Caenorhabditis elegans: one gene and its partner. The protein of the gene in region 1 binds, or shares a complex with, the protein of each later gene. Each region holds a gene or a part of one and is shown in the gene's direction. Other genes may lie near its edges.

Region 1 (6,905 bases):
CGCTGGCTCCCGGAGCTTTGAGCATTCTTTGAGGCACAATGCAAAAATAGTCTAATCAGAGAGCCAAAGAACCCATCTGAAAGAAAAATGAAGAAACGGATGGAAATCGTAAAAGAGTAGTAAACTGGCATGATGGAAAGAGAGAAGAGCATGAATAATTTCCGAGCTCAGTTCCGAACACCTTCCATTTCTTATTTCCTGCCATACTGAAGGCGTGAGAACCTATTCATCAAGTTTTGATTTTAATTTTAGAAATTCTCAACGCTATATATAGTTGATCCATTTACTGAAATAAGTATATTACTTTTTATCCTCGACACTTTTTGATTTATAGCAGCCCGTCGATTTATGGATGTTTCTCTCGTATTCCGGTTGATCGAATCTCTACCGAGTGACGAGTTTAGGAGCTTCCGGTACCCATCCATCCGTCTTATCGCCTATTTTCCCTAATCTGATGTGCATTTTTTGGTGTAGAGACTAAAAAAGAGTCACTTTTCCAAAAAAGCAAAACTGGCAGTAGTTCTCTTCTTGTTTACCAACTCATAAGCCCATTGCAGTCCCTGTTTTTTTCGGGTTCAGTGCCCTTCACAACTAAACGACTTAGCATGGACTTCTATACATCTCTCAACATATTAAAGTCGTATCTATTGCAAACATTATACTTTCATACATAATCCTAGTTTTCCCTCATTCTTGTTCTTGAAAGTGCACAAACAGTAAATTCATATCTGATGAAATGTGACTTCAAGTAGCCAACCCTTTCCAAGCCAATGAATTCAGCACACGAGATCGTTAAAATCTTGGCTAACCGCGTTTCCTGCTCTGGCGGCCTCCATGGCTCCACTCGAAAGCTCACCTTGTTTGCATCCGGAAAATTGTCGTAAAACATGGCTTCGCTCCCATTCTCTTTTGCCATGTTCAAGTAAAGGTGGTCAGTTTTTATTCTTACGGCTGAATGGCGTGCCTTTTTTACCTTCACAAGTTGGCCGCTATTGGAAATCCCACGGTTGACTATTGCCTTTTCCCGTCCGTTGGTGGTATTTTGAATTGGCAGAAAAATTAGAACTTTTGAATTTTATGTTTATCAATCATTTTCTCTGATCACTTTGAGTTGGCTAGACACCTGTTGAAGCGCAAAAACGAGCAGACAAGTGATTTACGCGTTTGTTATAATGCCAAGTTGTAAAGTATTCCGATAAGAGTACATTCGTCTTTTGAACACTTTTTATAAACATTTTTTCTATTTCTGACTCATATTGCCATGTGAAATACTGATTTTCTTGTTGTTGTGTTTTGTACAAGTTCCACAAAAATTGTAAGAATTTATATATATATATTCCAAAAACAAAGTTCCATATATTTTTCAGATTATTTAGGAAAAAACTTATGTTAAAAAATATACCTCATTCTAATAGAACATTTTCGAACCTTTCTCAGCATTTTTATAAAATCTAATGCAACTCATTTTTCTGTTCAAAATCCGAATAAGTGGTAATCTAAAAAAATTGATTAATCTTTTCTCATTTTTATTGCCTCAATATTATGCCAATTTTCATAATTATTAGGCATTTTTATAACCGGAAGTGAGATCATAAGAATATTATCTACGTTCTAGTGTCCTTCTGTTTCCCAAGTGTCATAACAGTCTTGCTCTTCGGTCCGTCTATAACTCTTTCAGAATATCGGTTTCCCAGTCAATTTGGCAACAGACGGTAATCATCATTCATTTCCGTCAGTCTATAATACCTCTAGACATTTTACGATGTCTAAGTAGCAGACTCCTATCGATTCTCTCGAAATGCAGCTCTATTGTTGTACCAAAAAAGAGATCTGCCACTAATTTGAGCAAAGATCGTATCTTCCGATAACCTTTCCTAATCGCGGTCATTCGACGCCATAATTGTTCTTCACCTCGTATTCTCCCACTATCATCCCACCCGACACCACAATTGTCTCTATGGTGAGAGCCCGAGATTCGAAGGCGATATGAGTGTCAATTTATCTTGCTGATCCCCCTCTCGTCGTGTTTTACAACCAGATTGGCTGTGTCAAATCTGCAACGAATCTAATTCATTAGTCTTACTGTCATAGTGGTCTTTGTTTTATTGTTGTTGTTGTCCATTAGTAGTGCGAAAAAACCATTTTAATTAATTTATTCTTCCACAATTAATAATTACAGTCATACTAGGAAAACATTTTAAATCTATAATTCTAGACCTCTCGTTACGTTTTATTTGAAATTTTCCATTATTTAATTTTTGCTACTAAACCATGTTCCTAGTGACAGCTGAATGCCTTTAAATGTCCATTTCCATAAGCAAATACAGTTATCATCTTTGTTTTGTCTCTTCCTTTCTATTTCTCTTCTACTCCTGCGTTTGGTGCCCTTTATATTTCCAACTGCACTCAATTTCCTCTGTTCTGTAGCGGCTTGATCGTGGTAGAAGAACAAAAACTGTAAAATCGGTGAATCATTCCGATTTATTTTCAATTTTTGTGTGTTATTTCGAAAGGATGGAATTTTTAGATTTTTTCCCTACTATCAGCTTTTAGCACAGTCACGAGATATCGTAGATGCTTGTGATTCATCACTTTTCATCTATTAAATTCATTTTCGTTCAAAATGTTGTTTATTTCAATCGAAAAATAGCTTTATTTTGAGATTTATCGTAATTTTACAAGATGCCTTCTTAAAGGCGCACGGTCCAAAAGTCTGTTTCTGTGAACTTCGCAGAAAAATTAGTACTTCTTTCTTTTCCTATTCTTTTTTCTAAGTAAATTTTCTCTAAGTTAATCTCCATTAATCTAAATTTCATTTTCCCATGACACCAAGATTTCCCTGGAGCTCAATTTCCATGTTCATGATACCTTGTTACAGTTCGGATTCCCACGTCATTAGATCCCAGATGGTTGCCCACGTGCCGATGGGTTTGCCTCTTCCCAAAGCACCGCCTACTTCTCAGCTGCCCCTCCTCCTTTCGGTTGTCCGCCCGTCGTTCTCGTTCTCTCCGCCAATCTTTCCCTACTCTCCTCTATGCTTTCTCTAGTTTTGCCTTCTTACCGTTCTACTTTTGTTACAGAACTTTTTTTATTGTTAAAAAGTTTAATATAATTGCTCTATTTTTCCAACTTTTCTTCTTTGCAGGAAACTCTTACACTCGACGAACAAAATAGTATGCACTGATGCGACGTAACAAAACGACTTATTCGTTGCTCCAAACGATTCTGGTAGCTTGTCTACTGACTGTTACTCCAACTTTCGCCAGCAACAAGCCGACAACGGATGAAAGTGGTGAGTATTTTGATTTTAAAATTTTCAAAATGACCGGATCTTTGTTCTTAAATGAATTAGAAAAAAATTCAAAAAATTACTAAGCTATCATAGTTCTTATAAAAGTGAAAACGCCATAGGAACACTTCTTCTTCTATTCTAATGCTGCAGTTTTCCCCCTCAATTCCACACTTGAGATCATTGCCGATTAGTTAACGATGCGCCTAGTTAACGATGCTTATTCTCTTGTTTCCGACTTGAAAGATCATGTCATTTTCTTAATTATGCATCGCCGACACGTCTCCCGGGGGACGGAAACATCCTGGTCCTTGGTCCAAAATCGAGCCGACTTCCTGTATGTGTCCCAGTTCGCCAACACCACTACCTCCATCCCACAAAAGTGTTAATCGTGCAGTTGTCGGTTGGGGGTCTGGTGAGCGGTGAGCATAGCCTTTGTTGCGTAATGTTATCTTACCGGTCCGGAAGTGCACATTTCTGTGTGGACCTCCTGGTGAGCACCGCCATATTAATAGTTGTCCTAGAACACCACTCGTCATTGATCGAACTTATCAGTCTAGGAAATGGAAACTGCAAAATATTTATTTGTTTGGATGAGCGTGCCTCCTCCTTCTCGAGATGTATATATTTCCAGCCTAGATGGGATTAAGAAAAGGTGTCGAGAGGGAAAGAGGGTGGCAGGCATCATTCCTACGTTTTTGAGAGTTTCCCTCAAATTCTCTTCCGAAATGGAAGTTTCTTTCCGCTTGACGGTTTTTGGGGTTTGTTTGCATTTGGGACGAACCTAGAATTGAATAAATGTAAAGCGCTTGCAACTCCTACTTTTTCACTTGAATTGTTGTTTATATGAAAGTCATTGTCCTCATCAACTGCTAGGTACGGGTCGGATTAAGGTGTTATTTGGGTGGAAAAGGCACCTGTGGATGATTTCCACTACCACCTGCCCTTGTTATCGTTCGCCAAATGATCGTTAGCCCCCCGCTTCTGCTTGCTTATCCAGGAATACGGACATTTTTGGAGGGTATATATGACATTGTTGCAGCCATAATTTTGTGAGGATGCACAACAAATTAGACGTACACAATACCCCGCATTGTTCCAAATCTCGCGCATTTGGTTTCGATGGCATGGTGGTTGTGTCCTCGAATTAATTTGTTCTGCTAACGAACTCATCAATTAGAAACTAATATATTGGAAAATCATTCACATTTCTATGACAACTGTCTCAAAGTTTTTTTTCTCGAGTGCATCCACTTCAAACTGTTTTGTCGGCGTTGTCACAACATGGAAACTCGAATAATAGTAGTGGTAGTAATATAACTGATTGATATGCTTACTAATCTCATTGGTACATAAAAAACTTTTTCGAGTTTTGATCTTGCCGACAGACTACTCATCTGCCCAGCAGTTTCCGAGTGGTGATCACCGATACTTTTAGTAAACATACTGAAGATGGCTCCTTCCTGCTGATGCTTCTTGCTAGTCACCCAAATTGAGTCAATTAGAGGGGCAAGTAAAGGAAAGATAGTGGAGGGCAAGAAAGACAGCTTGCACGAAAACAGACGTATCTACAATTAGATGCTGCCGCCGATTTTGGTGATGCACTTTTTAGCAGAAGTAAAACAACACATGGTAGTCATTTTCACAGTAGGAGGTGTCGAAAGTAGGCATATGTCGGTTTCGCGGATTAGCACTCTGATGGATGCGGTGGCGACAGAAACATTGAGTTGCACAATCGTCAGGCGGTCAGGGCTGTGTTTATCTATATATGAAAAAGGTCCGAGATTCTTATCTGTCATCTCTTCCCTTTTTGGCGGGTGTGTGTGCATCCATTCGCATCCGAGATTGAATTGATAGACAAGTAAGTAATATGCTGTGAACAGGCAGGCGTCAATTGTCATATTCGAAACAATAAGAGCATAAAACGAGCGGCTCACTTGCCTTCTTTCTTTTAGGTTTTTTGTGTCTGGCGGCATTATATCTTTAGAGCTATAATCTATCATTCATTTATTTTTTGAATGTGAACGGTCATAAAAGGTGACCCATAGCTCAATTATTCATTTGTTCATGATCCTCTCCCGACGGCACATGTAATCTGAATCCGGCGTTTTAGGGCCAAAGAAACTCAATCCGCGGCTCTCGTTGTTTGCTTTTACTGGTTTCTCGCGCACATGCGACGAATTCCCACAAGTTTCGATGTGTCGTTTTCGTTGATGGCTCCTAGTAGAACACAATTTATTGAATAAAGAGGCGCCCGGTGATGATGGAAAAGTTGTTGAAGAGCCACTTATGACTGGTAAAGAGGGGAGCACATCTCTGAATAAGACACACACACACACACACACACGTAATTCGTAATTGGTATGCCAGTGTCATCGTCAGCTTCTAAACGAATTAGTTGAGACTAAGAGCCTAACAATCGTTTACTGCCGGATATTTTCCACAAAACAGTTATCCTAACGGGCCTAACATTTTCTCTTCCGTTAACCAGGTGAATCGGTGTACGATTACGGTTTTGATGGCGTAATGTTGCCCTGATCGGACAGAGGCTACTCGTCGCAATGGAGAGCCTGTTGTTATACTGTTCACATAGATAGTATGAGAAATTAGGAGACGCTGACTGAAACGTGAGCACGCGCTGCGCAACAGCAGACGGGGGAGACGAAAATGAAGAAGAACGGTATGCATATGAATGAATGAATGAAACAAACATAAGAAAATTATTATTATGCAAGTCATGTCGAGAAGGAAGCTCCTCGCGGAAATTGAAAAAAAATTTTGAGGGCAATTTGAATATAAATATTAAATTTCAGGAACCATCTCACACACAATATGTGATGGTGAAGCTGCTGAACTGAGTTGTCCTGCTGGAAAAGTAATCTCGATTGTCCTAGGAAACTATGGAAGATTCTCTGTCGCTGTTTGCCTTCCTGACAATGACATCGTTCCATCCAACATCAACTGCCAAAACCACAAGACAAAGTCAATTCTGGAGAAGAAGTAAGTTTTAAAATTTCAAAGGCTACTTTACTATTACTATTCTGGGGACTTGTGGGGGGCACCCTATGCTTTGACCTAACTAACATATTCAACGAGTTATGAATAGGTGCAAGCCGCATTTGTAATAGCTTACTCACACACCTTTTCGCGACTATCAATTGTTGTATTTGTCGGACTTTGGAATACGTTGAACATGTTTGAAGAGCTGACCGACACATAAATACACGTATAGTTTTATGTCCCAGTGCCATTGTTCAGTCTTATCAGTTGAAGCGAACTGTACAGAAAGACCTTGGCATGGGATTTATCCGTGGCAGGTGAAAGATTAATAATTCATTGTGAATACACTAATTGAACATCCGGCCATGTATGTACAGCAATCGGTCGAATAATTCAAATTGGCACATCCTGGCCGAGCAGTCACAGACAATACCGCTATAAAAATGATGATGATATTGCCTTCGTGTGCGCGATCAGCCTCCCGTTGTCTACACAAGGTCGTTTGTCATTTGTGCCCGTTTTTTTGTAACGAAGTGCTGTCGAAAAGAGAACATTCATTAGCCGACCTCCATGTCTGCCAGTTATTCTACCATTTTTCTACCGGAGGGGGAAATCA
Region 2 (3,600 bases), on another chromosome or scaffold:
TGTCAAACGGCACCACCACAAGTGGTTGCCCTCGCCCGTGTGCTAATTCGCATTTTGTCTTGTTAATCACGCAATAGTGATAACAATCGCTTCCGGACCATTGCTAATATAATATATTGGCTACCGCGGGCATGTCTTGGCAATAACCTTGATGTCAAGTTTTATCGTTAAAATGTGAAGCTGTATGATTGCGAAAAATTTGAAGTTTTCCCATTCAAATTGTAGGCATATTTGAAAAATTTCTGAAGATTTATATCTGTCGTAAGTGGAACGGTTTATTTGGTTTCTTGGGTCTCGTCGCGAAAAGCTTTCACTATGGTTTGAAGCACGACTGGGCGACAATCGAAGTCGAAGTTCGGCAATTCGATAATTCGGCAATTATCGAGTTCAAGATTTTCGAAAGAAAAACTCAAAAAATAATTTTGAAATCTATTTATTAGTTCTGGACACGCGGAGTCAGAAAGTCCCATTTCGCTTTGATCTACGAAAAATGCGGGAGTTGAGACGCAGACATCTCAACTGATTTCGCATGGTTAAGAGTGTGCTGACGTCACAATTGTTCTGGAAAAAAATTCCCGCATTTTTTGTAGATCAAACCGTAATGGGATAGCCTGGACGTAGAACTCGCCAAATCGTAGATATATGCATAATGAAAACTCTAGAGTTAACTCTGCCACCCTCATAAAGTGAGTTAGAAACATTTCTGCTCTGAGGAACTATAGAACCCCCTTTCAAGTCGATCGTCAGCAAATTCTAGAAAGATCTGACAGTGGCCGATTTTTTAATGTTTCTAGGCCACGTAAAAAAGCTGATGTCTTGTTACTTTTCAATTCGAAAATCCCTTTTTTTAATTTTTCGGCAGCACCCGGTCCGAGCCAACATCTTCCTAAACACTTCAAAACCCCGCCCCCTTCTGCCCTCCCGGGTGTCTCCGTGTTGTTCAGGGTGTTGTCCACCCCCTAGACACCCAACTGACCATTCACCCGTCTCCTCCTCCCCCTCTACAACAACCACCACCACCTGATCCATTCCATTATAATGATATTCCGCATACTTGTCATACAGAGAATACCCGGTTTGCTGCTGCCAAACGGTTTTCATTTATTCCATTTCTCACTCCTTGATTGTTGTCAATTCTTCGATTCGATGCGGCAAAACTAGCGCCAGTGGGGAAATTGCTTTAATAGTAAACAATTTTTTTTTAAATTTCCTATATTTTTTGTATAAGATTTTCTTTTTTAATTGCAAATCCCATGGGAAAGTCTCAAATTGCATAAAATTCCAATTTGAATTCCCTCCAAGATTTCAATGTTCGATGGAGCGCACTTGAATTATTATAATTTTTATCAATGAATTTTTTTATCATCTCTGACTGATTTTTCACGATTTTTTGTGTAGTTTTAGAGGAAATTTACTGAAAAATCCAAGTTAAATGTAAATTTCCGATTTTTATACAATTTTTGGACTACTTTCCCCGCCGCCACCGCTAAAAATCCCAATTTCCTGCAAGTTTTCACCTGCTCTGACTCATTTCCGCGAGCGCGCGCGCTCGTACTTTTTATCTTTTACTATTTATTTATCTCCTCCAAAAAAAAATCCCGTTAATTTTTTTTCCCTTACAATTTCTCATAATTTACTCATTTAGTTTGGCTTAAAAAATGCTAAATTAAATTTTTTTTTCATTTCCAGATCACATGACACAACGAAAATGAGGAGAAAAATGAAGTTATTCCTATTTTTATTATTAGTAATTAATATATGTCGGTCGGCCGCTGCTAACGGTGACGAATGCCCGAAATTGTGAGTTTTTCGCTTAAAAATCAGATTTTTTTCGAATTTACTGTGAAAAAGCGGGGGTTTTGCCTGAATTTTCACTTAAAACTGCTTTTTTTTGCTAAAATCCCGAATTTTTCAGAGAAAAATAATTCAAACTCCATTTTTCAGCTGTAAATGTGCTCCGGATCCGGTGCAGCCGACGTCTAAACTCCTATTATGCGACTATTCTTCGAAAAACACGACAATTACACCTATTGCGTCGTCGAATTATGATCAGGTTGCTAATATTCGGTGAGGTTTTTTGATTTTTGAATGAAAAATTTGAGAAATTTTTAAAAATGGGAAAAAATGTGATTTTTAAATCAAGATATCGGAAAATACGAAAAAATTTCCAAGAAAATGGTGGTTTTTATCGAAAAAATGTTAAAAATGCATAGAAAATTTGGATTTTCGAGTTCGAAATTTTCTGAAAACAAAAAAAAAAGTTTTTTTTTACACTAAAACATTAAAATTGGATTTTTTTTTCCGAAAAACATAATTTTTCAATTTCTAACAGTAAAAAGCTCACAAAATTCCTTGAAAATTGACAAATTTAGTATTTTTTACACGAAAAATGCATTAAAATTGAATTTTTAAAACAATTTAAACTTAAAATAAAATTTTCATTTATTCTACACGGTAAATGTATTAAAATAATTAAAACTTCGAAATTTTAAATTAGAAAAAATCAAATTTCCTCCTTATTCTCAATTTTTTTTTACAGCAAAATTTCAGTTGAATTTTCCCATAATTTTGAATTAAAAATGTGTTTTATTCCAAAAAAAAACTATTTTACAACAAAAAACTAGATTTTTTCCCAATTTTCTATGAAAAATTTAATTTACCAATAACTTATTTTCTTTTTCCAGATCACTATTCATATCTTGTGATAATAATAATTTCCAATTTCCGGATGCCTACTTCAAGTCGTTAACCGCGTTGCATCATCTGCGGATAGTGGTGAGTTTATTATATTATCAGCTGTTCTCTACAGAACATCTGCTTTTTGCGTGTAAATTTAGAGGTCAATTTTCGGAAAAATTGGAAAAATTGGCCTAAATCTCAATTTGAAGTAGATTTTCACGTGTTCAAAAATGTTCAAAAAATTCAATCAAAAATTCGATTTTTGGAATACTTCAAAAAAATTTAATTTTCTTCGAGAAAACCGGTAAATTACAAAAAAAATTCGTTGGCGATTTTTTTCTGTAGTTTTCCAGAAAAACAAACGAAAATTTTAATTTTTAATTTTTAAATTTTCCAAAAAAAATTTTTAAAAATTCATAAATATGTCCATTTTAATTTTAAAAATATCGGAAAATATTCAAAAAATGAACTTTTCTATCGAAAATTTAACAAGAAAAAATTACGAAAAGTTCATTCAAAAAATTAAAATTCTTCTATATCTGAGGAAGGCTAACAGTAATTTTTTCCCATTTTTTGACTCTTTGAGCAAATAACCGTATCACTAATTACCTTAACCATCAAAAAAGAAAGGTGTGCCTGTCTTCTATTCATCCTCCTCTCGACACCAAATTCTTAAGAAGAGCCCCCCACTCGGATGTCTCTAATTAGGCACAAATGTTACGTCATTTTGTCATTTGTACGGCCACAGATGACCTCCGGTGTGCTTGGAGGACTGCGAGAGAGGAGGATTAAGGGGATTTTTATGTCCTACAATTGATTTTTTTAGGTCAAAAGTAGGGATTTTAAGGCCAAAAATAGAGATTTTTTAGGTCAAAAGTAGGGATTTTAAAGCAAAAAAAAAAAATTTTCGGCCAAAACAGT

Evidence for each region.
Region 2: the proteins of lat-1 (region 1) and tol-1 are in contact, whole or in part, in a crystal structure (PDB 8SUF), measured with the Caenorhabditis elegans proteins. Residues at the interface, in NP_001366731.1 of Caenorhabditis elegans: Thr42, Leu63, Gly64, Asn65, Phe69, Ser70, Val71, Leu75, Asp79, Val81, Ile85, Asn86, Gln88, Tyr126, Glu128, Lys130; in NP_001020983.1 of Caenorhabditis elegans: Ile709, Cys710, Gln712, Tyr713, Gly714, Asn715, Cys716, Asp717, Val760, His778, Ile781, Gly782, Lys802, His805, Thr806.

Annotation. Positions count from the first base shown.
Region 1 is NC_003280.10:8,893,696-8,900,600, forward strand, and holds the start of lat-1 (Latrophilin-like protein 1), read left to right. Parts: upstream 1-3,145; 5' UTR 3,146-3,183; coding exon 3,184-3,292; intron 3,293-5,899; exon of another isoform or gene 5,900-6,049; intron 6,050-6,102; coding exon 6,103-6,289; intron 6,290-6,723; exon of another isoform or gene 6,724-6,905. UniProt on the Caenorhabditis elegans protein: Has a role in the establishment of anterior-posterior polarity in tissues during embryogenesis. Required for the alignment of the mitotic spindles and division planes. May have a role in cell death events.
Region 2 is NC_003279.8:442,310-445,909, forward strand, and holds the start of tol-1 (TIR domain-containing protein), read left to right. Parts: upstream 1-1,693; 5' UTR 1,694-1,708; coding exon 1,709-1,800; intron 1,801-1,944; coding exon 1,945-2,067; intron 2,068-2,684; coding exon 2,685-2,775; intron 2,776-3,600.